Linked DNA regions of Drosophila melanogaster. The protein of the gene in region 4 interacts with the protein of the main gene of each other region in a pairwise test. Each region holds a gene or a part of one and is shown on either strand. Other genes may lie near its edges. The genes, in order: PSMG1, gdrd, CG4960 and DCTN3-p24.

What was found.
Region 1: the proteins of DCTN3-p24 (region 4) and PSMG1 interact in a two-hybrid assay, tested with the Drosophila melanogaster proteins (one large-scale study listed by BioGRID).
Region 2: the proteins of DCTN3-p24 (region 4) and gdrd interact in a two-hybrid assay, tested with the Drosophila melanogaster proteins (one large-scale study listed by BioGRID).
Region 3: the proteins of DCTN3-p24 (region 4) and CG4960 interact in a two-hybrid assay, tested with the Drosophila melanogaster proteins (one large-scale study listed by BioGRID).

What each region holds. Positions count from the first base shown.
Region 1 is NT_033777.3:5,790,192-5,798,718, forward strand, and holds PSMG1 (proteasome assembly chaperone 1), read right to left. Parts: upstream 4,127-8,527; 5' UTR 4,032-4,126; coding exon 3,931-4,031; intron 3,878-3,930; coding exon 3,450-3,877; intron 3,386-3,449; coding exon 3,207-3,385; 3' UTR 3,132-3,206; downstream 1-3,131. Other genes in the region: Rpn5 (regulatory particle non-ATPase 5), read left to right, coding at 1-633, 693-849, 912-1,214; Hpf1 (histone PARylation factor 1), read left to right, coding at 1,782-3,131; CG10979 (uncharacterized protein), read left to right, coding at 4,694-4,849, 4,958-5,104, 5,187-5,649, 5,720-5,867, 6,238-8,203.
Region 2 is NT_037436.4:14,689,441-14,692,462, reverse strand, and holds gdrd (goddard), read right to left. Parts: upstream 1,117-3,022; 5' UTR 1,035-1,116; coding exon 693-1,034; 3' UTR 501-692; downstream 1-500.
Region 3 is NT_033777.3:25,782,938-25,791,420, forward strand, and holds CG4960 (uncharacterized protein), read right to left. Parts: upstream 4,362-8,483; 5' UTR 4,286-4,361; coding exon 3,761-4,285; 3' UTR 3,392-3,760; downstream 1-3,391. Other genes in the region: CG31380 (uncharacterized protein), read right to left, coding at 5,174-5,385, 5,510-6,515; CG31093 (uncharacterized protein), read right to left, coding at 7,013-7,404, 7,473-7,518.
Region 4 is NT_033778.4:23,058,622-23,067,516, forward strand, and holds DCTN3-p24 (dynactin 3, p24 subunit), read right to left. Parts: upstream 3,973-8,895; 5' UTR 3,890-3,972; coding exon 3,311-3,889; 3' UTR 2,799-3,310; downstream 1-2,798. Other genes in the region: Fatp2 (fatty acid transport protein 2), read left to right, coding at 434-672, 731-1,375, 1,435-1,636, 1,695-2,636; CG44253 (uncharacterized protein), read left to right, coding at 1-75; CG9890 (uncharacterized protein), read right to left, coding at 4,188-5,299, 5,354-5,600; PPO3 (prophenoloxidase 3), read left to right, coding at 6,208-7,194, 7,259-7,354, 7,416-8,153, 8,216-8,446.

The DNA.
Region 1 (8,527 bases), on a different chromosome or scaffold from region 4:
GATCGAGCGGGCCCGTCTTACTAAGATTCTGGCGGACATTAAGGAAGCCGATGGCGATGTCGCCGGAGCTGCCACTGTCATGGAGGAGCTTCAAGTGGAGACTTATGGCTCGATGGATAAGCGCGAGAAGGTGGAGCTCATCCTGGAGCAGATGCGCCTTTGTCTGTTGAAGGAGGATTACGTATCCACGCAGATCATTGCCAAGAAGATCAGTATAAAGTTCTTTGACGATCCGGCACAGCATGATCTGAAGCTGAAGTTCTACTATCTAATGATTCAGTTGAACAGAGACACCTCCTTCCTGAATACTTCGCGCCATTATCAGGCCATAGCGGAGCCTCCGCGCAAGAAGACTGGCCTTACACCCGTAGACTCTGCCGCGTCCACGGATGAGCAAAAAAAGAAGGATGACGATAAGAAAAAGAAGGAGGAAGATGACAAGGATAAGAAGCCAGAGGTTGCTACAGAGGCTGAGGTCGAAATTGAACTTACCGAGGAGCAGAAGAAGGAACTGACGGAAAAGCTGGTTTGTGCCGTGCTTTATTGCGTTTTAGCTCCCTTCGACAACGAACAGAGCGACATGATGGCACATCTTTCGAAGAACAAGAAGCTGGAGGAAGTGCCCGCCTATAAGTAAGTACATTTGATTTGAAGTACATTTCGAGCATGTTATTTTATTTTCGATTTAAAAGGGAAATTCTGCGCTTGTTCATGTCAAAGGAGCTGATCAACTTCGACACATTTAATGCAGACTTTGGGCTCGTGTTGGCTGAAAACGAGATGTTCAAGGATAGCACCAAGCATGGCAAGAAATGTATCACCGAGCTTAAGGATCGTCTGATAGAGCATGTAGGTTTTTTTTGATTTAAATCAATACTAATAATAACTAATTGCTACTGGTTATTTCATAGAACATTCGCATCATTGCCATGTATTACTCCCGCCTGCATTTGGCGCGCATGAGTGAGCTGCTGAACCTGCCCACCAGCCGCTGCGAGGAGTATCTTTCTAAACTGGCCAACACCGACACCATCCGCGTAAAGATCGACCGTCCCGCCGGCATCATTTACTTCACCCAAAAAAAGAGCGCCTCCGACATCCTGAACAACTGGGCCACCGACGTCAACCAGCTGATGTCCCTGGTCAACAAGACCTGCCACTTGATTAACAAGGAAGAGTGCGTCTACTCCGTCATGTGTGCTGTCGAGGATTAATCCTGTTCCATAGGTGCTTAGAATAGTGTTTCCCCCTTGAAGCGCCTATCCACACGCAACTGTAATTGTACTAACCCCTAACCATCAACATTTCGATTCTCTTCGTGAAGTTTGTATTCATTGAATGAACTACAATTATTAAATGAATCCCCCCATTAAATCTCCATGCAATTCAGTGCAGTTTTTGCCAGTCACTGGTGATTTCCGGCGGTATTTTACAACACTTTTGGGGGTGTGTGCAGAGTGCTTCTTCTTATCCAGGGAAGTCAACATGGGCGTAGATCTAAAAAAATGACTAAAATTGAATTTAAGTGTCCAATAAAAGTATACAAGTTTATGAAAAGTTTATTAGCTTTTCACCAAGGGGAAATGTCTGGGCTGTAGTATATAGTGTAGTATTTTCTATTACCCAGCTGTCATGGTAAAGTATTTTTCTCAAATGGGTCAGAATCATCCCCTTGCAACTTTTAACGGCGTCACTGGATGCTTGTTATTCTTGTTAATTGTGCCATAGCAAACCTCACATTTTGCAAATTTGTTTGAAATCGGTATTGTTGTTACTTAAGAATGCCAAAAGAAGATTGCAAATACTGGGATAAGTGCTATCAGCAGAATCCCGCACATTTGTCCAAATACAATCATCCGAAAAAGCAACAAGAACACGAAGTGGACGGCGCAGAAGGCAAAAAAGTGGCGCCAAAAAGAAGTGCATCCTCGCAGTCTGGTGAACAGAAAAAGGAAGAACAAACGGAGCCGGTGAACAAGGATAAGTCCAATACGAGTGCTTCAAGTACGGAGATGGTGAACAAGGATACAGCCAAGGGCAGTTATGAAGCCGAAACCGAGGAGCTTCACAAAGAGGCCATGAGCAACATATCCGGAAAGAACTACATGGAGATCTTGGAGAAGCGCATCCGCCTGTCCGTGCAGAAGGAGTACGACAATCTCTGCGAGTCCAACGAGTTCATTCGACACAAGTTCCTTGTCGAAATGCCGCCGGACTTCTACGAATTTTGGAAGTTTGTGGGAAGCTTAAAAATTGATCCTGCGAAGCCCAAGGATGCTGGCTTGGAGCACCTAGACAAAGTATTTCAACTGCAGTTGGTGGGTCCCTTTGAGTTCCTAGCCGGTAAATTTCACGGCGCCAAACTAGGCGAACCGGGAGACTACCTGCGCCACTGGCGTTTTTACTACGATCCACCAGAATTTCAGACGATCTTCGTGCGCCGAGGCACTGGGATTCACTACGGTTACTGGCGCGATGTGCCGCAGGACAAGGAAAATCTCTTAATAGCCCGCAACGACTCTGCGAAAGGCTGCCAGTTCCAATTCGTCGCTGGAAATGCCTTCGATGCTTTCCTCTACTACCTGGAGCACGATTTTGCGGCCACTCCGTTCTCATGCGGGCAGTTGGCGGGGACCAAAAAGGCGGTGGCAAAATACCTGAGTGACAATTCCCTAGAACTGGCCCAGCTGGACCGACTGCAGCGGGAGCGCAACAAGCGTGTTGTGGCCAAGACATTCCACCGAGCCGGCATTGTTGTGCCCTTTGACCAGAAGACAGAAGTGGGATACCGCCCGCTGGCTGTCAGCGATTCCGAACTCAAGAAGATGCTGGCAATGCTTGAGCGGAAGGACGTCGATAATGGAGCCGCCAAGCAGGCGGTTCTGGAGAAGCTGCAGCCGGTGGCCAACGCAGCCAACATAGCAGTTGATGAATCGGACTTTGGAAGCGCCCTGGAACTAGGCATCGATATGTTCTGCAGTGGGCACAAGGAGCTGCACATGCTTGCCTCATCGTTGCTGGTACCCGCCTATTCAATGCTTTCCCGTCCACAGTTCATAGCCATCGCCAAGGCGCACATGGAGCAACGTAGTCGGGAGGACAACCTCAGCATTTTTGATGTACTTAAGTAGTTCGATTTTTATTCCGCAACCGTATCATTTTTACAAGCATTAAAACTAGGAAGTTGAGCACAGCCAAAAGTAGTTTCACATGTACAAATAAGAGCTCTCCTTCCGCGGAGGGATGTAGCTCGAGCTGCAGGCAACGCCCGCGGCTTTAAGTACCTTGATCACTGGCTGCGCAGCTGTGGCGTCGAGGGGCAGCTTGTCGGTGTAAATAACGAAAGAGGTAACAGGCAATTCCATCTGATCCCGCCAACTGGCAACTGCAAAAAAAGGTGAACAGATGGTGAGGTGATTCAACCTTCTCCTTTTCCACTCATCACTCACCGCCTGCTGCAACTCCAGCGATAAAGTTGGGAGCCTCTAGTTCAGTGATATCCTTCTGGTTGGCACCTATGCCGCGGACAACGGCAATGTGATCCCGGTAGAGCTGGATGTCCTCGCTTTTGAACTCGACCTTTGGCTTAAGCGTCAGAGTGATCACTTTCTTGGCAAGCTTCACGTACGGCAGTAGGAGCTCCGCTACCTCGCCGCTACTGGTCAGGTCCTCGTTGATTATGGCCAGCAACTGTTTGGACGAATGACTCCAGTGCAGGGTCGAGTTATTGGCAGGAATGGCGCACACACGCTTTGCATCCTTTTCCAGCAGAGAAGAGGCGAAGTGAGTGACGTTGACGCCCTCAATGACCACCAGCATCTCGCTCTCCACAGGGGCAGCTTCCCCATCGCAATCATCATCAAACTTCAGCTGCAGCCTGCGAATCCAAGAAATTAGGACTACCTACGTAAATAACATTAGATCACGCACTTCTCCACCGGCTTAAGGTTCTCCAATTCATCCTCGTCGCAGTCGTCCCAGAAGGCACGCGACGAGGGTATATTTAGTTCTCCAAATCCTGGACAGCTCATCGTGTCTGTTTTGATTTAATAAAAAAGGTGAAACTAATATGATGAGCCTAATTCCGGTCACTATGTTTTTTTCAAGTCATCAGTGTGACCATGTGCTGAACGCCAAAATAAACGTTTTTCTATTTGAATAAATTACATTTGCAGGTAATATTTAGGAACTTTTAGCGCTTTTTCTGAACTTATTAGGGCTTGGCATGTCAATTAAAGATTTAACAATAAGCTAATTCCAAAATTATGTATTGACAATATTGTTTGGGGGTTTTGAGAATTGATGGAAGTTACGCCCACTGAGCAAGGGAGAAATCAAACTTCAATTGTTAGTTCTAGTCGAATATTAAAACAAATGTGGTTCCAGCTTATTGGTTTTGCCTGATTAAATATTTTCGACTCTTCCGTTTTTTTTTAAGTTGAAACAAAAAATTCCGCACAGGTTAATAAAAATACCAGATCAGCATCGCAGCAGAAGCAGCGCTCAAGCACGGTCATACTGAATACAAAAAATGCAAGATGCAGGTCCATATTCGAATTGGAAAACCACTTTGATCGCTAATTAGAAACAGATTAAGAACCTCACGTCGGTGAAAATATTCCGTAGGGCAGCGCGCTAGGACAGGTCTCAAATTTTTTGGTTAGCAGTGGGAGCAAGCGCGCAAACCAGCGCCATGAGAAAGCGAAGCTCACGTTGTAACTCTGACACTTTCAAGGAGGAGCAGATGGACCACAACGGTGACGACATCAGCCTGCTGCAGCGGCCGCTGCGCACCGCCCACACGGGATTCGAGGAGGCCCGTCGGGCCTATGAGGATGGCACCAGCGAGGTGAGTCTCATCTGAGTGGAGTACGTGACTCAATTGTGGCCCGCAATGGCGGAGGCTCCTGCGCCCCAGTTTGGTGGATCCCCGGATAACAATCAGATTCTCCCACAGGTGCGCCAGCTGCTCAGTCTGGAGTGCAGCCTGATCTACGAGTGCAAGGTGTGCCGCAACATGTTTCGCAGCCTGGCCAATTTCATCAGCCACAAACGCGTCTTTTGCTGCGTCAGCGCTCGTTCGGCAAATGGCAGCGGATACACAGTGAGTGGGCAGTAAAGACAACCCCATTACAAGGTCTCTAATACCATAGGATGTCAACTAATCGCTGTTAATTCTCCCCCAGGATCAGAATTCCACTATGATCATACAAACGGGTGGTGGTCCGTCCCCGCAGGACATTGAACATATGCTACGCAGCAGAAGCACGGGATGCTCGCCTGTTCCCCGCGACGTGCGTCCCTTACGAGGAGGAGGTGGCGGCGGCATAAGGGACCTGAGTGGTGTTATAGAGCGTCTGCGACGGGAAAAGGCTACATCACAGGCCAAGTGCAGCTCGCCCACTGTTCTGCAGCTGGAGTCTGTGCCCAACTCTAGCCAGGCTGTTTATCAGACCATCAAAGTGGACCACGACGACAGCATAAGGACAGAACTGGACGAGGTGCATCGCATGCTTAATCCATCTGAAACCATTGTGGGACCCGACGGCAAGGCCTTGGCAACCGTTAAGCTGGAAAACAATGCAGGCAGCGACTCCGGCGAGCAGTCCATCAGCGACGAAACGGAGCCGAGTATTTTCTGCGAGATCTGTACGACTACCTAACCGAATAGGCCTTGAATACAATTAGTGATAGCTGTGTTTCCTAATCTCGTTCACAGGCAATCTGACGTTTCAGACGCACAAAACGCTTGAGGTGCACATTCAGAAGCATCACTCATCATCGGCGTTTGTGTTTCAGTGCCCAGCCTGTTCGCTGACCTTTCTGCAGGCCGCTGCTGTTATTCGTCATTTGTCGAAGGATCACAAGTAAGTTCAACTTAACCCGACCATAGAATTTTTATATTTTATTATTATAAAATATATGATATTATTCTACTTCAAGGGGACAGGTTCCTTTTTTCTTTCACATGGTCCATTTATATCTGCTTACTGCATACTGCATTCCTTATACATATATGTATATGTCAAAAATCATATTGTTTCCAAGGAAACAATCTAATTTACTTTCTATTTATGTGAATTTTTTAAGCCCTGAATCATAAAAACAGAACAACTAATAATCATAAATAAAAATATAACAGATACATTTTTATAGGGATAGTGGTTTTTCTAAAAATTATACATGCAATGTGTGAACTAATATTAATGTTGGTCCTTTTGCAATTTAATTTTTCAGGAAGCCAACTCGACGTATTCGAATGATGCGGAACACTATCCTCAAGCGACGCATTCAGCAAGGAGATGTGCAGCCGAAGGGCCCCTGCCGGGAGTTGAAGCGCCTACAGCTCTCCGACGACGTGGTGGGCTATGTCCCTGAGCCACTAGATGCCAGCGGTGAGCACCGTAAGATCATGTCTTTGTGTATCTATTGCGAAAAATCATTCGAGCGTCGCGCTGCCTTGTCAACACACCTGCTTAATTGTCGGGCGAAGCAGGAGGCGCTGGCTAAGCCTGCTCCTTCTGTCAAAAAACTGAAGATGAAGAGCAATGATTCCAGTGTGGATGCAGCTGATGAGGATCCAACGACGTCCATAGACCTGCCGAAAAAAAAACCGATCAAAACCGAGGAAATTACTCTGAATGAGATGTTTGCCGATCTACCAGAGCCGAACGACTCATTTGCACCTGGTCTGCACACAGTGTCATTGGACCAGCTTAACTTAGGCAATGTAAGTGACTCTGCTAGTGACGAAGCCTCTAACACCGACGACGAGCACGAGCTAACACCAGGGGCCGGACCTGAATCCAATGCCGATGCAGAAGATGTCAAGGGTAAGGCCAAGAAGAAACGTAACGTCCCAGTTGAGAAGCAGCTGCGATGTCGCTGTAAGATCTGTCACAAGCAGTTCAATGCCCTCGGGAACCTACGTCGTCACATATCCATGTTTCATTACCGCGCACGCCGTTTTGGCTGTAACCTGTGTGAATATCGCGCATTTAGGCGCTACGATATTGTAAATCATTTGGGATTTACTCATAAGATAGAAGGAGACCGAGACCAGCTGACGGAGCAATATGTGTCCACCCACGAGTGCGAGTACTCTCGAGACGATGTCGACGGAGATATAATTTTGCTGGATAAGGAGGAGGAGCTTACAGTGATGGAGAAGGATGCTAAACCCCCTATCAAAACCTACGAAAGACGCTTGAAGCATCTCAAAACCCTAACAGAATCTGTAGGTGAAGTGCAACCCAAATCTCCAACAGCCGCGATAAAAGAAGAACCCGGACAGGAGCCTCTGGAGGGTACTCCCACGCCCAGCAAAAAGCGTCGCAAGTCTCGTACCCAAATCTCACCCGAATCTGGAGAACATTCCCAGGAGAAGCGTCCCATCCGTAAGCGAGTTAAAGCGGTTAACAAGGACTTCGTCTACGACTTGGTCAGTTTCAAACCGGATGGATCATGCCAGCAACCTCCGGGTGCGCAAGCCGTAGAATCCATGCGGGCCAAACTGCGTCGTCCCGCGCCGGTGGGCAACGATGAAAGTAAGGCCAAACAGTACGAAGCATACATTACGGAAGAGAAAAAGCATCTTGTGTTCGGCATCACACGGCGCATAATGCTGGAACTGGTGAGCCAGGGTCTGGCGGTGTCTGCTACTCTGCCAGAATTGCCCTCAGAGCGACCGCAGATACGACCGCGTCTTATCTCGCACTCGCGCAGCGAAAGCGGATCGCAGCAAAAGCAAAATATTGTAGAAACTACAGTGGATCCTGCTCCGGAAACCGAGAGTTTCATCGAGAAGATTGCGAAGCGAACGGCAGCTGCTGGCAAGGATAACGCTGTCATCAGCAACCTGTGGAACAAGGTCAACACTGCGATTGCCCAGCAGGAGAAGCAGCAGAAGAAGGAACAGGAGCCGCTTCAAGAGGCTCAGCCAGAGGAAAAGTCGGAAACAGAAAAATCAAAGAGCCCTCTGCAAGCGCCATCGCCACCGTCACCGCCCAGCATATGCGAAGCCACCGTTCCCGAAACGCTGGCGACCACTGGTATGGATTGCCTGCGAGGAAAGGGCAGTCAAGCGGGAGCTTCGACAGTGTTTCCGTCCCTGCCCAAGCCGCCATCCGTTTTGCAGGCGGCTGCCAATGGGACCATACAGTTCACTCTGGACAGTCTTCTACGAGCCGCTCTGCAGAACTAAACGGAACCGGAAATGGAAGTCACCGCCACCATCATCGTTTCTACTTTCACAGCTTTCGGTTGTCTTTCCTACTGGATTTTTACTCAAACTTTCAGCTGGTCGCATTCGCATCAACCGTTTTGAATGTAATTCACTAGTGTCCTTATTGTAAAACCAACTAAGCAAGAAACAGAATCCCTAAATGATAAATACGCTTCGAGTATTACGCGGTAAAAACAACCAAAACGAATTGAAAATCGTAGCATAATTTTGGGCTATTAGCAAATGTTTGTTGTTTGTGTGAAAAAGTACAGATTTTTTAAAATGTTATAGTTAATAATGTAT
Region 2 (3,022 bases), on a different chromosome or scaffold from region 4:
TTAATGCCGCTGCAACGGCATTTTATGGCAAATTATGTTTGGCTTCATTTCCACTGATAAGTATCGGACTTCAGCTTTCTGTCGAAATTTATCGCATATAATACGTTTTGCCAATATCTCGAGCGGCAGACGACGAACTTGAAGAATGTCCTTTCTTATTTATTGCTTTTAACATATTTGTTTGGCTCCAAGGCAATTCGTCTTTCTATGTGAATGTGGCGAAAGGCAAATGCAAATTTCAGTCTCAAATTTTCCGACTTTGCAAAGTTTTCGACAAAACAAAAGGCCCCCTGACAATATGCAGCTGCTCGAAATTGCTTGGGGTAACATTTTTGAAGGGCGGTCAATGAAAAGTTTATTATGCGCCGAAAAGAAGTCCACAAAGTTTGTGGACCGAATGAAAGCAAGTTTGGCAATTGTGTGTGGAGGGCCACTAATAAATTGCAAATATCGTTGAAAATAGTTTAGATTATGGCGATAAGGGCAGTATACAATGTATTGCTTTTGCTCATTGCTCAGTTTATTATATGCGCTTAGTTTTCGAATCCTTGGCTTGTGTTAATGCATAATTTTTTAACAATTAACTCGGGTCTGTTTGTGATTTGTTAAATGGGCTTCAATAACAATAACAATAAATAAATACAATAAATTTATACATTTTTGAAAATGAGAAATATAAAAATGTTCTTATATCATTGGTTGGTGGTTTCGTTTTCTTGTTCGACGTTTTCAAATCGCATTGGATTATCGCCTCCAGCCAACTGGTCGGCGTTTTCGCCAACAGGTACGGATGGAATTCGAGCATGGAGCTTCCTCTTCATCTGGACCACGGCAGAGTTGGCCATGCTAATGCGATTAATGATTCGGTTCAGACGCTCCTGAATGTTCGAGAATACCTGCTCGGAGAAGCGAGCGTCCTCAGAGGTATCGAGAGGCCCCACTGCAGTTGCTTCGTCACTATTGTTTTGGCTACCTTCTGTATAGGGCTCGTAGCTTTCAAGGTCTTGGAATATATCAGATCCGTCGTCCGACATTTTGACAAAAAAAATATATTTCAGAAATTTCAATAGTTATTCAGGAGCTGTGAACTAGAACAGACTTAAGTGCAAACAGATCAAAGACAGAATTTATACTGACAACAAAATCGAGAGCAGCATGTTTGATATAGTAACTCTATACAATAAACAATAGTATTAATCCAAACTCCATAAATATGAGTAGATGGTCACAACGTTGAAACATTTTTAATTAAGCGACACATCAAACTATATTTTTTATTTAAAACCAACGTTTTAATTATCTTCAAAATTAAGAATAGACGGATTTAAAACCTCTTAAGAAATCGCAACCCACTTGGCATGTAATCATGTGTGAAATGTGTTCAGCAGGGTCATAAAATCAGAAATCAATTAAAGCAATTTAAGAGCGAGGAGAGCAAACGATACGGATATGGATGTCGAGAGTCGAAAGTTGCCAGGGCACAAGGCAAATAAATCTCTGAAACGACTCTGCCAAAAAGGACGCACTTTGGGTGGCAGTGAGGATAAAAGTTTCCCCACAGCTGAACGAGGCGAACGAAATCAAAGTCTATAACTTAACGACTGCAATGAGAATGATGCTGATGACGATGTCGACGATGTGAAACGCCCTCAAGGTCCACCCCATTCCGTCCACCCGTTCCACCCACAGCCCGCCACCATTCGAGGAAAATCCGTACGCAGAAAAAGAGAGACAAAAGCCGAAAAGGGAGGAAATGCAGCATTCATTCTCTCGCCATTTTCCCCTTAACCCTCCCCTTTTCCCATGGCTCTTTGCCATCATTCTTTCAGTGAGTTTTTCGCCTCCATGTGCTAAATATTTGCCAGCCATTTCTTTATTTTTCTCTGGCCTTTGTCGCCAAACTGGATTCCCATCTTGATACCCATCGCTCTGCCACATCGTAATAAAGCAATAAATCTGCTGAGGAACTGCTCCTCATAAATTCCGTTACGCATAAAAACACTTACAAATGACTTTTTGTTCAATGGAATAAATGGCATGGCACTACACACATACTAAGATGTATATATGGAGCTGTAGCTGCGAATGCATGTTCATGACTGCACCAAGTTAAATTCACACACTTGGCTTTCTATATCTTCCGGGATTCGCTGAATCCTCTATTGATAATGCCATTTGGCATTTGGCTTGTGGCAAGGCTTTGACTTTTGCGACGTCTTTCACTTTATGGGCTTTCTATTGAAAACTCGTTGCGCTGCTAAGTAGGCAACATTTTTCAGCTCGCTCTAGTTTGTTCGCTTGTATCTTCGGGCGTAATAAACTACGGGATAAATTAAGTTTTTGTAAATAAGTGTAGGAATCTGGTGAAAAAATGTTGTAAAGAAATCCTGTCACTGAAGTTAAATTACAAATTAAAAATAAAATGTACTCGGAATAAATAAATAGTTGATTAAGAAATATAAGAAAGCCATACGTTTAATATTTAATATTTACAATACCCAACTCATTATATGTTATAACAGTTAAAGCTCTGTTTTTTATATTTCACAGAATCATAACATAAAACTCGTTACGAGTTTTATCGACATTTTTTTACGCACATATTTCACATTAAATATTTAAAATAACAGCTCGCGATCAATCTAAATTAGTAGAGATGTACATATGAAAAAACCCTCTAAATCCCTACCCTTGTTTATGCCAAGTGGTCTCATGCTGTTGCCTAATCTGCTGTCCAAATCACTCTTGCAACATGTTGCACGACCAACTAATTGATGATATAATTGAATGTTCAGAGACCATTTCCCAGTTCGTTAGGCTCTGGCTCTCCACAAACCATATCCCATATCAGGAACAACATCTGTCAGACCCATCACAATAAATAACCATATAGTTATAGTTGAGTTTCCTGCATTAAAACGCCATCAAGCTGGAGATTAATGTGAAAAGGTCACGCCCAGCTCCTTGGGAGGTGAAAGCCATTCACTTCAGCGAGACATTGACATTTGCTACTGGCTTTTCC
Region 3 (8,483 bases), on a different chromosome or scaffold from region 4:
AAAATGAAATTTAAGCGAAGTGGGATAGCACACACACAACAACGCATAGCAATGCCAAAGGATATCAAGTGTGAAGAGTGCTTAACTCAATAAGGACTCAATGACAGGACTCATGCGGCCAGAGCTTGAGCCCTTTCTGCCCAGCATCCTTTGAGCGGAGAGAGCTAAAAGCTGTAAGACTAAGCTTTTTTGCAGAGAGAACCAGTGAGAATGGAAAAACACATACGCTCTCTCTAACTCTCTCTCTCTCTCTCTCTCTCTCTCTCTCTCTGAGAGAAAAAGAAATTCTTCTCTTTGAAGGAATTTGTTTACTGACCAGTGCTCTTAGAGTTCCTTCAGGTGGCATACTTGTTACAGCGATTGTAAACCAATATAGGCATTTCAATTATTAATTCTACAGCCATTTCACATTTTCTAATTATATCCTGCAGATATCTGGCAGCAATTAAAATCCATTTTAAATAGAGCAATTGGATTCAGTAGCCATTTATTTAGTAAATATCAAATTAATCTAAATTCCACTCGATTGACAAAATGTAGACTTACTTACATGTTATATCGAAGTGTCCTTGCTGGTTACACAACTTTCCTGGCCTGCAGGCTAATAAGTTCTCAATAACTGTCTGGAAAATGGATTTAGCTCGAGACTTGGACGCACACCGTTAATGCAATTAGGACATTAACCCCTTGGTGCCAAGATGATGGATCGGGGCCGTTGGCTGGTCGTTCCCTGTATCGTTGCTCAACTAATCCGTTTTAATTCTTACGCCACGTCCTTTGAACTTTGACACGCCCAGAGACACGGACACAGCCGAAGACAGCTATCCATGTCAAACAGCTGCAGCGGCGCCTAAAAGAATGCTTTGTTTGTCTTTCATTATGTGGGCTTTGTTGGGGCGTGGCAGTGTCTTTGTTTCGGCTTCAGCTTTCAGCTTCCAGCACTGAATAAATTACATTTTTGCTCGAAATGTATGTCGCATTCCGTGTGTCATTGACGCCGCCCTTTCCCTCAAGAGGTCACAACTTTTGACTTTGTCCGGCATGGGAAAATCACTTATTGCTTCAACAATATTTGATTATAATTAAAATGATAATTCGATTTTCATGGCAATTAAACTTCATAGGCGTGTTTGGGTAGTATTAAATTTCTATAATATACTTTAACATCTTTGAAGAAATCAAATGGTTCTAAACGTAAATCTTAATTAGAAATGCGTCTTTTACTATATATACTGGTATTGATATTCGAAGCATTGGAAATTCGATTTATTGATTTCGCAGCGTGTTGTTGTTCGCACTTAATGAAATCATTTGGGGCCAGAAAAACACAACACGCAACATCAAGCATACGCCATGTGGCAAAATTCATTGACTTCTGGCCACCCTTGGCCGAAATGAAAATGTTTAGTCAAGTGTTGCCTGACCTCCTGCTCACACACACACTTACGCAGAGCACATGCTCAACTGAGCAGCAGAAAATACATGGGAAAACAAGCGCTTTTCCCATTTTCCCCTGGAGGCAGCTATTTTTAAAGCTTGGCTCTTGGACTCATGGAAATTTCATTTGCCTGCTCAGGTTCCTTTCGGCCGGATCGGCCTAACTGCGGTAATTACTCACACTTGACCCGAAGGGTTGTCCGGCCGGGCGAAATCAACTCGATGGCTGAGCTGGATGCAGATAAATTGAAATTTTCCGGTCTTGCTGTACAGAGCGGCAGGGGGAAGTTGTAAGCTAAATATGAATTACAATGTTCCAAGCGGTTGAAATTGCAACTGATGAAGTTATGCAATTTGTGGAAAAATATTTGCCACTGTCCTTTTTTCTGACTTTCTGTGTGTGGTATCGAGTTGATTGGATTAAAAGCTACTTCCCCGAAATTCGAAAAATCAGTTTGCTAATACCAAATAAGTTGTTTTCCGCCCAACCGGTGACAAATAAATCCTGACCTGAGTTTGGCTGCTGGGTTATTAAGTAAATGTGGTATTGGCACAAGTTCGACTTCACATAAATCCACTTGTTATAGTTCACTAAACATACGCACACACGCACAAATACGTCCAGAAATAAACAATACTTTATTTACAATGTAATGACATATAAAATGGCTGCCTTTGCCATTTCTTGTGCTTTTTCTTCGTCTGTGTTCCAGTTTTTTCAGGTTTATTTGCCAGCGGTCAGTTGCTTAATTTCTTCGCTTTTATTTGCCACAATTTCAGCATTGCAGCATTGCCACATGAATCTGGGTGTGTGTTTATGTGTATTTGTGTGCGAGGTGGGCGTGGCCACGCCTCCTCCAGCCCACAGATTCATTTCGGTGCTTGCTGTGCTCTTGCCTTTCTTATTTATTTTCGTAATAACAATAAATTACATTTTTCTTCGGGTTTTCCCCTCATGCGAGTGTGTGTGTGTGTGTGCTCATTTGCTAAGTTGTTTTATGTGGCTGTCGCCTGTTTGTGGCTTTTTGACATTATTTGGATTAAGAAAATAAATCCTGGCCATGGCTGGACAGCAATTTTAATATTTTCACTCCACCCCTCCAGCGGCAAGCAAACTTTGATTTTCATTTTGTTTCTTTTTTCCCCAGTTGTGCTCAGGGCAAACCAAAGTTTTAATCTATGGAATGGCTAGAATCAAATTTTGGCTCTCTGGCATAGAAAGTTTTTCAGCCTGAACTTGTCATTTCAGCAAAAATACAATTAAACAAGGTAAATACAAAATTCCCACTCTGCCAGTCAGGATAATGCAATCGTACGTAAAAATGATATCACATAAAGCTCATGGGTTAAACGTAAAAACAGTTTCTATAAAAAATTCAGCATGTTTACATGCTGGCATTTTAAAGTGAGGAAAATGCAACAAGCTCGTATTTTCATTTAAAAAAAACATTACACATTGCAAAATTTAACTAAAGGCAATAGTGAAAAAACTATGCTATCCAGTTAGTACTCACGGTTCCATTAAATATAAACCATATTTGCACCTTTTTCAAGTGAGTATTCATGTAAGCGAATAAAATATTGAAAGCAATTTAAGTGATAAGTTCAAAATATGCAAAACAATATTTATTAAAAATTATTATAACGCAATGTAAAATATTTCAAATGTTATTGATGCATTCTTTCGAGTTGCATAACTTGCCATTTTTCCAGCATGTTTATTATTCTGTAAATATATTTGACAAACATGCACTGGCACATAAAAAAAAGCTGAAATTGACTCGAGTAAGAACCGGAAAAAGAACAATGAGCAGCGACAAAATATGTGTGGCATCGGGATGCTTTTTACGCGCAACATTTATTTCGCATTCGAGGACGTCTCTCAGTGAGATATCAAACTCATACACACAAGGAGGTACACACACACAAGCACACCTACAAAATGGCACACAATCGGTAAATGGCTTGCATTAGGCATAGACTTTCTAGACTTTTATTCAGATTTTCCCCATACATTATCACTGTGAAACTTCCAAAATATATAATTTCTTTTCGAATGTCACTTAAAGGATGGAAGTGCCGTTCTGAGCCGGAATACCTCTTCGAGTTTAAATTCGAGTCCACAAAAGCAGCCGCGCAAGTGGTGAGATTTCATTTTTACCTTTAACCAGGATAGATTTTTTAGGATTCAGCGACCACTGGTGCTCCTTCCAACAACAAAATGAATACATCATTAAAATTTATTGCGAAATGTATCCGATACGAGGTGAGGTTGTTTTGCAGACCGTAAACCAAATGCATGGAGTTAACGCAAATGTTTGTCCTAGTCGTCCTTTGGCACTCCAGCGGACATCATGTCGACGGGATCGTGAAGCTTCAGGAAGTATGGTCGGACCAGCTTGTGGTAGATAAGGGTAGAACCATTCCGTTCGGTGGGCAGCATGCACCAGATGAGGAAAGTACACTTCAACAGCCAGTAGAAGGGAATCATCGAAGTTAGCAGACTTGGATAGAATTCAATCACAGTGAAGATGCCAAAAGTGACCCAGTAGATCAGCCACCTGATGTCGTCCTGCTTCGTACTGGACTCGATGCCATGGATGGAAATGTAAGCAGGGTAAAGAACCCCAATGATGTTGCACAATAGCTGAGCGCACCAGCCAAAGACCAGGTAGAAAGCGCAAAACAAAATACTACCCACGAAAATATTCACCCTCTCCACACCGGTCTTCTCTTCCAGGCTATCAAAGGCTTTGGTCCACGGCTTGGACGCATCGCGCAGTGATCGGTTAATGTCCTGCTTGTAGCCGTTGAAGAACCGCTGCACCTGACTTACCTGGGCGGCCATTTTGCACAAATGAGAATTTAATGTATGTATCTAATTGTCAATCAAAATTGTGTAACGCCGCCGGCTTTCTAAATGCCAGTCGATTTTTTTTTTGTTTGCATTACAAAAACGACCTTAAATTAAGGTAAAAGCCGCAAAATGGTATCTTGTATAGAAAATTTAAAAATTTATATTTTTGAATCAGCTCCGTTCTTTTTTTTCTTATAGAAATTACCTCTGTTTTTCCTCTTCCTCCATTAAGTATAATAAACGGTTGCCTAGTTTTTGGCGCAGGCCGGGCTAAATGGCATAGCTTAGCCTAATTGCACTCAGCTTTAATGCAGTTGTGAATAAAGCAACGCCAGCGGCAGACACGTCATAATTTGGTGATTTTCCAACAGCTTGGCCCACCATTTCGCGCCAAAGTTTTAATTAAGCAAAGGCCAGGAGCACGCGCAGAATACCCCATTTAGTCCGACTTTTCGTTTATCCACATCAAAATTCACATTTTCCATTTCTTTTCAGACTCATTTTCTGCGGCAGACACGCACTCACAGCTTTGCATGGCTTCCATTCATTCACTCATTCAAAATGCTAAACAATTCAAAAAAATGTGTGTAACTATCCTCGCCCTTCCATTCGTCGCCTCCGACCTTCCATTTTTCCATTTCGCAGCAGCTAAATGTGTTGCGCTTTTGTCTAGGCCAACTGAATGTATTTTCGTTTCGGCCTTTTTCTCCTTATATTTTTCCACGAGTACCAACTCGGTTCATAATTCAAAAGCCTCTGACGGCTGGCTTTAAAATGCCTGCGGCTGTGGCTGCCATGTTTTATGTTTATTAGCTCGTCTAATTGAAATGTCTAATGGGGGAGTTTATGAAAAAAGCGGAAAATCCGCTTCCACCAGCTTCAGAGGCCTTCGTATTGCCACGGATCCAGGAGCCCTTCCAGCTCGAAATGCTTCACCATTTGCTTAATAGAGTCCTGGATGCCAGGGTTGAGATACAGCCGCCTTTTCATATCCATTCCACGCGGCTGATCCGAAAGTAGGGCGGCGAAATCCGCATCAGTTTCATCGGTGTTTAGCAGCACAGGTAGCAGCAGCAGGCCACAATGAACGGCTTAAGGAATATAGATTATCACTTTATTTATTTCAAAAAAAAAAAAAAGTACGAAAGACTTGGAAGTATATATATTTTGTTTGCATATTCATTTGCTAATCTCTTAGAAATTAAGTTTACCCACCGTAAAATCGTTTTTGCTCTGACTCCAGGTGAAACTGCTTTCGACTGGGCAACCTTTGACCTTTGAAGCCAAGTCTCTGCAGCTCCCCCACGAAGACATCGTGATAGACACCTCTCATCTTCATTTGCAGCTCACTCCGCACTTGCTCCACAGCCGACGTGTTGAGCAGATGATGGATGTCCAGGGTGGGCGAACCCCAGAAGGCGTACTGAAAGTCAATCAGAAGGACATCGCTCGGCACGCCCGCCTCGTATTTGAACATCATGTTGTTTGTCCACAAGTCGCCGTGGGTAAGGACATTAATGTGCGTTTGCTCTTGCTTAAAACAGCGGAGTCCTAGTCCCATATAATAGGGAGCCAGTTCGTCTAATAGTTTTGCGTGGTGTTCATAACCCGCCTGAGTTTTAAGGTAATTGGCACAGGACTTGAGGCAGCCCAGAAAGTAGGCACTAAAGCTTTCTGTATACCTATTGAAGAAGCCTTTATCGTATTCAGTGAGAGAGAAGTTATTTTCCAAAAGATTGTTCTCCAAAACCGCTGATGCTGCCTGCATTTTGGCCAACTTCCTAAGAACCAAACTCACATGCTGCTCATCCAATCTCTGAAGTCTCGGGGCCATCACAAATCCCTTGTAGCTCAGATCTTCCATTATGAGTGCTCCTCTTTGACGATCGATGTGTAGTATTTTAGGACATAGTTGCTCGCCGGCTAGTTCCTGCAATTTTGGTAACACTTGCTCGTAAATCTCCAGTTCCCGATTGTAAATATCATATGGGGCTTTCTTCATTTTCGTCTCCGCGTCTTCATACTCTAGAACAGTCTTGGCAATCAGATGTTCCTCGACTATGCTGCTGTACACAAGGTGTATGCGTGTTAGGATAGCACCATAGTTTTCTCCTTTCCCTAAAGCGGGATTTATAACCATCGATTCCACTCGAAGTTCGTTGTTCTGGTAATACCGACGCAGTGCCGCTTCCAGGTATTCAGCTGTGAGCCAAGCTGCCATGACTGCCCTAATCAGACTAAAATTGTTAAACTTAGCTACACAGATTAGCAGCAGCCACTGATAACTCAAAAGCTTTCAGTTTACAACTGAATAATAATTGCATGTCTTATCGCAATATAAGCACACTTTCTGTGACTGCGATTACAGTCACTTTGTTTATATTTTCGGTTTAAAAAAAAAAAACTCATAAATGCAAACAGATGTTTGCTTGGAAAACACAGATGGGGATTGATTTAGTTATAGCCATACCGCTTTGAAAAAGCCCAGTTCAATGGCAAGTGCCAGAAAGCCAATCTCGAGGTTATCCATTAACAAATTAGTATCGAAACTTTAGCTATTCCGTTAAAAGAACATACCTAAACTAATCTCACGAGTTTCCCAACTTGTTTTGCCTAACTTTATTGCCGTACGAAATATATGCCAGTGTATATATATGTAAAAAACCGGGCTAACATCACCCGTCCCATCAGCTGGTCTAATCGCATGCAAAACCCCTTTCACTCAGTTGGCCCGAACCCTTCCAGTTCGCCGGCTGCCAGTGTCACAGTTCGGGGCTTAGGCACCTCCGGTCCGGATTCAAGTTCCGGCTTCGATTCCGGCTCCGACCCTGGTGGTCTGCTGCAACTGTTTGCAGTGCGACGAATGGCGCACTCATAGACGTAGTTGGCCAGAAACACCGCAGGAGGAGCAGCTAAGGTTGCTTCAACCTCCGGACCTGGTGCTCCCATTGTAGCTACTGGAATGTCGACTGCAGACGTTGCTCGTTTTCCCATTGATGTTCCATTTCTAGCCAGAGATAACGGTCGATTGCAACTGTTTGTGCTGGTGGGTGGCTTCTGCTGCCACATGTGGCCTGTACCCCGCAGACAGTTGGCCTCGATCACTATAGCTACTCGGATTAGTTAGGGTTTGAGTTGGGTTTGTGGAGGGTTAATTAAAGTGCTCAAGACCACTTACCGAAAGAGATGCCAAGCAGGGAGCACATAAGAAATATGCAGTTCATATTGTAAATTGTTGCCAGTTGAAGAGCTCACACTGTTTTGTCGATGTATTTACAGATTTTTGGTTCAAGGACTACTTTCATCCAAATTAGGTTTACAGAATCGTTCTATACTTAGACCATTTTTGTGCATTGCCTTGGTAAAGTTTCTTGGCCAAACTTTCGACACTTGTTTTTGTTGATGTTTTTATCTTCTGAGGCTGCATCTTCTGCTGTATCTGGAATCCATTCAAATTGACGCATTGACAATTGTTTTACCAATTTTATCTCGCTTGTTTTTCGACAGTTGGCCAAAAAGTTTGTTGCCTCCATTCCCCAGCAACGTTTTGACAACTGCTACGGCTGCTGCTAGTGGCATTGGCATTGTTGCTGCATTTGTTGCAGATTAAAGTTGCCGCTACCGTCTTTTTATTCAATTTTCCTGCACTTTTCCCTTCTTTGCATAGCCAGAGAGATAGTTTATCAAAACATTTTCAAGTTGCAGTGCGGCTGCAAAAACAAAAGCACCCAAGACATCATCGATTTTCTCGAGTGGAATGCGCCTCGATGCGAAGTGGGGTTGTGGCTACAAGGAAAACAACTCAATCTCAATGCATGGCACTTAAGCAGCTGAAGGAGCAGTGGCAACAGTGGCAGCCACTTGGTTGCAAGGTGCAGATCCTGCCACGACAGCAGAATGCAATTTCTGGAGGAACGCCAAAAAGGGAGGCAGACGTCGCTGCTTGTCGAAGGGATTATAATCGAGTTTTAAAGACATTTTATGATCCCTTTCCGTTATTTACGAGTTCGTATGCGTCATAAAAGTCAGTTCTAGGACAAATTTACAAATGTAGAACTTAAATCTCTCTAAATCTAAATATTGCGTACGGTGAAAAACTTTAACAAAAAACAATTTACCCATTCATAGCCATATCACCTCTCATTTAATTCACTAAAAAGAAACCAAAGCCAGAAAGTTTGCTCATTTA
Region 4 (8,895 bases):
GATGCCGAAAAGAAGGCCTTGATGCACTTCCGAGAACTTTCATCCGGCCGGAATGGTCACCGCTTTGGCCACTAGATGTTGTTGTTTGTCCACATACCACTCTATATATTTTCTGTGTGTTTGCTTTTCACTGTTTTGGTTTGTTTGTTTGCAAATTGCTTAAATAAAGTGCTAATTGATTGATGCGGGTTGGGTTATGGAACTACGGTGGCTAGAGTGCAAATTAAACAACAAGCAATTAGCTGAAGATCAGGAAAAGCTTTGAATCAACTTCATCTGGAGGTGTCAGACCCGGGGGGTTATTCTATTTGCTATCTAAGACCCGTATCGCCTATGTGGGCTTACGCGGCGTATGAGTGATGCAGTCGTTGTTCTCCTTCTCGCAGTTGGCAATCTAAACACATGCATCTTTACTAAAATTGTGACTTTGTAGGTCTCCATTTCCATGAACGAACCGGAAAACCTGAAACCACCTGCCAAATCCAACTTCCGCCGTTATCTTCAGTGGATCCTAGCACCTGTCCTGACCGCCATTTCCGGTCTGATCCTCTACTACCAAGGGCCTTGGTATGGAGTGGCCACGCTATATGCCGCATTGATATCCATACTGCTGGTGCGTCCAGGATGGCGCTGGTTCTACATTGCAGCTGTTACCACACCCAGGGATACTGTGTAAGTAACAAGGATTGGGAAGTTAGTTCCAGAGTTTTTTTAAAACTGTATTCCTTAGAGCCCTCTTTGCCTACATCCGTGTGCTGCTCTTCATTAAGCGCCAGGAGCGCAAGAACCTGAACATCGGAGACATCTTTGAGTCAAATGTGGCCCGGCAGCCGGATAAACTGGCCATTGTCAGTGAGTCCCAGCAGTGGACCTTCCGCCAGGTGAACGAGCATTCGAACCGGGTGGCCAACGTGTTCCACAGTCACGGCTACAAAAAGGGCGACGTGGTGGGTCTGCTGCTCGAGAATCGCGCCGAATTTGTAGCCACCTGGCTTGGTCTCTCCAAGATCGGCGTGATCACGCCGCTGATTAACACAAACCTCCGTGGAGCCTCACTGCAGCACAGCATTACCGTGGGCCAGTGCACGGCGCTCATTTACGGCGCCAGTTTCCGGTCGGCCGTGATGGATATCGCCAAGGATCTGCCCGCCCACGTCGGACTGTATCAGTTCAACGACGAGTCCAACCAGGAGGTGGTGGCTTCCGAGGGCCTTAGCCAGGGACTGGCCCAGCAGTTGAACGGCCTTCTGGAGACGGCGGCCAAGGATAAGGTGGCCGCCGGCGCTTCTCGGGCGGATCATCACGACAAGTTGGTCTACATCTACACGTCGGGCACCACGGGCTTGCCCAAGGCAGCCGTCATCACGCATTCTCGGTAAGATTTGCCACTGGCTGCAGTAAGTTTCTCCTTTACAACGATTCCTCTACTTTCAGGTACTTTTTCATAGCTGCCGGCATTCACTACACGCTTGGCTTCAAGGATCAGGATGTGTTCTATACTCCCTTGCCCCTATATCACACCGCTGGCGGAGTGATGAGCATGGGCCAGGCCTTACTCTTCGGCTCCACCGTGGTCATAAGGAAGAAATTCAGCGCCTCCGGTTACTTTTCAGACTGCGCCCGCTTCCAATGCACGGTAACTGGCTATTGGATCATCCAATATGTTGTATTAATGTGCCTTATTTTTCTGCCAGGTGGGACAGTACATTGGGGAGATGGCGCGCTACATCCTGGCCACGCCATCGGCTCCTCACGATCGGAACCACCAAGTGCGAATGGTGTTCGGAAATGGACTGCGTCCACAGATTTGGCCGCAGTTCGTGGAGCGCTTCGGGATTCGAAAAGTGGGCGAGTTCTACGGAGCCACTGAGGGCAATGCCAACATCATGAACAATGACAGCACAGTGGGCGCCATTGGATTCATATCCCGCATACTGCCGCAGATCTACCCAATATCGATCATAAAAGCAGATCCACATACGGGAGAGCCTTTGAGGAACAGCCAAGGACTGTGTGAGAGATGCGAGGCGGATGAGCCAGGCGTCTTCGTTGGAAAGATTGTGCGGGGTAATCCCTGCCGTGAGTTCCTCGGCTACGTTGACCAGAAGGCCTCCTCCAAGAAGGTGGTCCACGATGTCTTCTCCAAGGGCGACATGGCCTTCATCTCGGGCGATCTGCTGGTGGCCGATGAGCGGGGCTATCTGTACTTCAAAGATCGGACCGGCGACACTTTCCGCTGGAAGGGTGAGAATGTCTCCACCAGCGAGGTGGAGGCGCAGTTGAGTAATCTGGCTGGCTACAAGGATGTGATTGTGTACGGCGTAAGCATACCCAACACTGAGGGCAGAGCAGGAATGGCAGCCATCTACGATCCCACTCGGGAGGTCAACGTCAGCCAGCTGGGCGTGGAACTGGCCAAATCCCTGCCCAACTACGCCAGGCCGCAGTTTCTCAGATTCCTGCGCAAAATCGACCTGACGGGCACCTTCAAGTTGCGCAAGGTGGAGCTTCAGCAGCAGGGCTTCAATCCGGAGATCATCGACGATGAACTCTTCTACGCCCAACCGGATGGCGTGTATGCTCCACTCACCCCATCCGTATACGAGAGGATAGTTAGAAACGAGCTGCGATTCTAGGAGCGCCGGACTTTGTTCTTGGGAAGAAGAAAAGTCAAGACTGTGCCTTGTATGTTGGTGAAGAGGATATCCTTTGGATTCGGCTTGTGGTGCGCCAACTACTTTTAATTCTGGCTAAGTTTCTTATTGTCCGGACAATATAAACTTTAGCATTGGAAATTTACTGTTGAAAGAGCGTTTCCGCGGGTAAATTATTATTTTGTAACTATTTCCTTCTACAATTCCTACATACATAAGTGTCACATCGTATTGTATACATTGTATAGATAATAAAAATAAAATTCAGCCAATGATAAATCCATATTGTGCTCTATTATGTGATTATAGCATTTTCCTTCTGTAAGACAGGATTTTGATTGGTTTTCATTAGATTTGTAATTTAGTTTATTGTGCTTAGTTAAATAGTTTTTAAAAATGAAACTTACAATTGAAAGAGCATCATTAGCCACTTTACGTTGGAGTAGTTAGAAAATCTAATATCCCGGCTTCCTTAAACAGTTCCAATCAAATCGGGATGGCTTTAGCTACGATTACACTTTTCAATAGAACCTAGGTTACATCCATTGCTTGAGCAACTGATGCCTTCAGCTTAAGTGGAACCAGATTTTCAGGTGAACGGATTTGGAAACGGGGTCGTATAAAATACTTTCAGCAGTCTTTGGATCTATATCCGCTCAATCCTTGGGCGGCACATCCTTGCTCAACTCTGCACGCTTCCTCTGCTCCATGCGCTCCTCTACCTGGTCCAAGCGCTCGCTCATGGCATCCAGGGAGCTCAGCAGTCCCGCCTGGATCTCGCCATATCGCTTCATGGCCAGGACCAGACTCTCCTCGATAAGTTCGCTCTGCTGCGCGTACTCCCCGTTGTTCTGCGTTATGCCCTTTAGCTGCTCCAGACACTCGGCGGGAATGCTGCGGAAGTACTCCGCGCCCAGGGCCGGTTCCAGCTGCTTAATCCTCTCCAGCTGCTCGGCCTGCGTGTGCAGCTCGGGGGCCACGGCTTGCAGGTACACCTCCTTGGAGCGCACCTGCTGGTGCTCCTCCAGGAAGTTGGGGTCCAGGTACTTCTCCAGCTCGTCAGATCTCTTCACGCACTGCTGCAGTGCAGCACTTCCTGTGGTTGCTTCGCCCAGGATGGCGTGTGCCGAGCACAGGGCGTCGACCACGCCCTCGCCCACCTCAGAGTCCTGGACCGGACCCAGGACTCGTGTCAGGGCATCGATGCGCTTCTCCAGAATGTCCAGTGCCTCCATTTTTCGCTGAATTTCTCTTTATTTTGTTCGTTTTGATGGGAATGATGTCAGTCTGCAAAACAATCGATGTCCAACGAAAAGGTGGCAACGTTAGCTTGGTGGCAAGGTTCTTGTACTCGCTAAGCAGAACGAATTAACCCTTATGCGGACTAAAAAATATGGTATTTAAATAAAATATTTAGCTCCTCTGCATAAAGTTTTTGGTGCATACGTATCTATAAATATAGTACACACTTAAATTCCATTGCTATTTACTTAGTTTCTTTTAAACGTAAACTGTACAATACAAAAATCTCAGTTACAACAGCTTAAAATTCTCGAGGGACAACCGCTCCGCATCCTTGTTGATCTGCGCCAGACTATCCTCGGAGATGATGCGCACCGTATCGACGTCCGGGTCATCGCCTCCGGAATCATCCAGCACACACAGCAGACCATCGTTCTCGATGTACGGGAAGAAGAACTCGGGCTTGTCCCAGCTCTCCTTATCGCCGATTCCGTGGTGCGACTCTTGTGCCATGTGCTCCACGAGCAGCTCCTCCTCGTCGAACTGCAGATCGCAGGTCACGCAGCGCAGCAGGCACATTTGGCGGCGCAGGTAGTTGACCACCTTGACGCGTTGGTAGAAGTTCAGAGAGCTGGTGGCCTTCTCGAAATCCAAGCGATGAACCTCGTGCATGTGCTTCTTGAGGGCGGTGAAGTTGTCGCCGAGATGGTGGCAAAACAGGCACTTAATGGAGCTAGGCTCACCATCTGCCGCCCAATCCGACCAGTCCGAATCGTGTTCGCCATCCGAATCAGGGCGAGCGAAGTGCTTGTCGAAGTCCACGCTGCCGGTTTCAGGATCAGCAACTGTGGACACGGATGCCGTTTCCCGTCTTCGCTTTTGGAGGTGCTGTTTCCGGGGCGTGGGGGCCGTTGGTACACGATTGTAGTTGATAAGGAAGTACTTGTCGTACTCCCTTCGGTTCGGATTGATCCGCTTGTGGCCCTTCTTGCGCATGTGTTCCTTGAGCGTGGGCCGATCCCTGAAGATCTTCTCGCAGTAGAGGCACATTAACCGATTCAAGTTCTCCTCCAGGTGATCCAGCAGTTCGTCCACATACACCAGCTTCTCGGGCTTGCCGACCAACAGAAAGTGCTTGTCAAACAGATGGTCCAGATAGTCCGCCCTCAATCCCTTGATGATGGCCCTGCAGAAAAGGCACTCCTTGGAGAAGGTGCGGTCGGTTAGCTCGAACTGATGTCGCTCCAGGGCTTCACTTAGGCGCTTCTCCTTCAACCTTCGCCGCAGCTCGTAGTCCTGGGGCAGGATGTCACACAGCAGGTAGTACTTTTCGTTCTTGGCGTACTTGCCATCGGGCAGCTGATCCAGGAACATTGTGGTGCAATATTGCTCGAATTCGTGGGCTAAAATGGGTAACAATTATTAAATTTTCAGGGTAGGGTTGCTGATTCTCTCACTGTGAAACTCCTTTTCCCAGTACTGGAGGTAGTCCTCCAGAAGCGCTATATCCTCCACATCGGCGATGACCAGTCGGTGCTCCATATACAAATGCGCCAGGCAGTCATCTTTATCTGACGGAAATATGTACACCTTGTCGCATTTCAGGCACTTGATGGCCGTGTTCTTGGAGGGCTTGAGTTTCGAACTGCCAGTGATCTCCTCCAGCGAGGAATCCCCTCCTGAAACAGCCACCTCGTGCTCCATTTGTTTACGTTCTCCTGGTGCTCCACGAATAAGTGTGACCGCAGGTGCTTAGCGGCAAAATACTGTTTGCGAGATAAGCTTAATTATGACGTACACTGGAAACAATTGAAAATTTAATGAATTTAATTTAATGCACAAAAAAAATTAAATAAATACTTACAACTGTCTTATGAAGACTAAATAATCAAAAAATGATATTCAGTATTTTCGATGTAGACAACACGTACTGGAAATGTTAATATCCTTATAGGATATTATACGATTCAAATATTTGTAACTTATCTGTGAATTAAAATTCTGAAACTTACAAATACATTGTTCGTTAAGTTTTCAACAGACTATGATGAATCAGCAGCATCTTATCGGTTAAAAATGTTTTTTTCGGAACTCTGTGATTCAATGCTTATACTATGGCAATAGTTAAAAATTCTTAAGTTAGTAATATTTTAGATTGTTTTTTGGGGTTGACGAACTTGAGATGTTCGCCATGTAACCATAGGGCATTTCGGCTGCTGGGTATAAAAGGAGCTGATAGTTGGGTGGGGACGTGCAGTTGAGAATCAGCAACTGCTCGCTAAAGGTCCTCCTAATCGCGAATCCATCGAAAATGGCCGACAAGAAGAATCTGCTCCTTCTGTTCGATCATCCCACGGAGCCCGTGTTCATGGACAAGGGTGGCAATGGCACCGTCTTCGACGTGCCCGACTCCTACGTGACCGATCGCTACAATCAGATGTGCAAGAAGGTCCAGCGGCGCGTGAGCAGCGCGTCCGAGAAGAACGTTCAAGTCAAGGAGATCGCCATACCGGATCTCAGTTGCTCCATGAGACTGGGCCGCTCGGAGCAGTTCTCGATCTTCCTGAAGTCCCACCGCAAGATGGCCAGCCACCTGATCGAGATCTTCACCAAAATGCAGACCGTGGATGAGCTGCAGAGCGTGGCGGTGTACGCCAGGGATCGCGTCAATCCGGTGCTCTTCAACTACGCCTTGTCGGTGGCCCTGCTCCACCGTCCGGACACCAAGGACCTCGAACTGCCCGCCTTTGCGCAGACCTTCCCGGATCGCTTTATCGACTCGAAGATGCTTCGCAGCATGCGCGAGGAGTCCTTTGTGGTGGAGCGCTCCGCCGCCCGCCTGCCCGTCGTCAGTTCGGTCAAGTACACCGCCTCCGATCTCGATGTGGAGCACCGGCTGTGGTACTTCCGCGAGGACCTGGGCGTCAACCTGCACCACTGGCACTGGCATCTGGTCTATCCCATAGAGGCGCCCGACCGCAGCATCGTGGACAAGGACCGTCGTGGCGAGCTGTTCTACTATATGCACCAGCAGATCATTGCCCGCTACAATGCCGAGCGGCTGAGCAACCACATGGCCCGGGTGCAGCCGTTCAACAACCTGGACGAACCAATTGCCGAGGGCTACTTCCCCAAGATGGACTCGCTGGTGGCCAGTAGGGCGTATCCTCCGCGCTTCGATAACACCCGGCTGAGCGATGTGGACCGGCCTAACAACCAGTTGAGGGTTGGCATCGATGATATGAAGCGCTGGCGCGAACGCATCTACGAGGCCATCCATCAGGGCTACGTTTTGGATGTGAGTGGGGAGCTCTCCGATTCCAGGAGTACATGCATCCAACAACTAATTGGTTATTTTTTAGACGAACAATGAAAAGATCGTGCTGGATGACGCTAAGGGCATCGACATCCTGGGCAACATCATCGAGGCTTCCGATCTGACGCCCAACAGTACGCTGGTAAGGAATCTAAGTGATAATCTGTAGATCACCTTTCCATGTATATTATTTCCATCTGCAGTACGGCGACTTCCACAACATGGGGCACATACTGATTGCCTACTCACACGATCCGACCAACAAGCACCTGGAGTACGCGGGCGTGATGGGCGACGCCTCCACCGCGATGCGCGATCCGATCTTCTACAAGTGGCACGCCTTCATCGACAATATGTTCCAGGAGCACAAACGTCTGCTTTCTCCCTATGAGAAGCAAGAGCTCAGCTTTCCGGACGTTCGCGTCGAGAGCATCCAGGTGGAGAGCCAGGGTCAGGTCAACAGGCTGACCACCTTCTGGCAGGAGTCCGATGTGGACATGTCCCGTGGCCTTGATTTTGTGCCGCGCGGCCATGTCCTCGCTCGGTTCACCCATCTGCAGCACCACGAATTCAGCTACACCATCAAGGTGGAGAACTCCAGCGAGGCCACGCGGTATGGCTACGTGCGCATCTTCCTGGCGCCCAAGCTGGATGATCGCAATGCACCCATGCTGCTGGAGCAACAGCGCCTGATGATGGTGGAGCTGGACAAGTTCGTGGTTACCATGCCTCCCGGCAGCCATACGATCACCCGGAACTCCACGGAGTCGAGTGTCACCATTCCGTTCGAGCGCACCTTCCGCAACCTGGACAAGCTGGAGGAGCTGCAGAACTTCTTGTGCGGCTGCGGTTGGCCCCAGCACATGCTGATTCCGAAGGGTCGGCCCGAGGGTCTGCGCTTCGAGCTCTTCGTCATGGTTTCCAACTACGAAGAGGATAAGGTAAGGTGTCTTTAGAGTATACTGCGAATGCCTCCTGATCCCAATCCTCTTTCCTTGTGCAGGTTGACCAGACGGTCGCAGATTGCGGCTGCAGCATCGCCGCTTCCTACTGCGGCCTGCGCGATCGCCTCTATCCGGATCGCAAGTCCATGGGCTTCCCCTTCGATCGCAAGCCGCGTCGAGGCTCCGAGATCCTGGAGAACTTCCTGACGCCCAACATGTGCGCCGTGGAGGTCATCATTACCCACGAGGACCGCACCGAGAAGCTTCGCGAGGTACCAGCTCGCTCCTGAATAAGAGAAGCATCTTGTTATGGCCAGTTTCATTTTTTGGCTTAAAGAGAAGCCACTAATAACGGTCTATAGCTTTCTCGCTGTGTAGAAAATACCAAATAAATTAATGAAATACTATCAGATGCCAAAATACCAGTTTACCGTTGGAACTCCCCGCGAACGGTCACACTGTGCTGCGGTTGGGGGCGGAATTGAATTTATTTGCAAACAAAAATCGAAACACGGGAGCTCGACGTTAGCGTAAGTGTTACGGCCACCGATTCAGCTGCTGGCCAATTAAAATATCATCGATGTTGCACACAGATACGCCGCACAGACACTCACGCACACACGCACCGCCTGGGAGCAAGATTCGAGCCCAGAATCTCAATTTGATCAATTTAGCATTCTGGCCATTTGACAATACAAATTGAGACTCGTCTGCACTGGGTACAAAGTTCAGTCCGTGT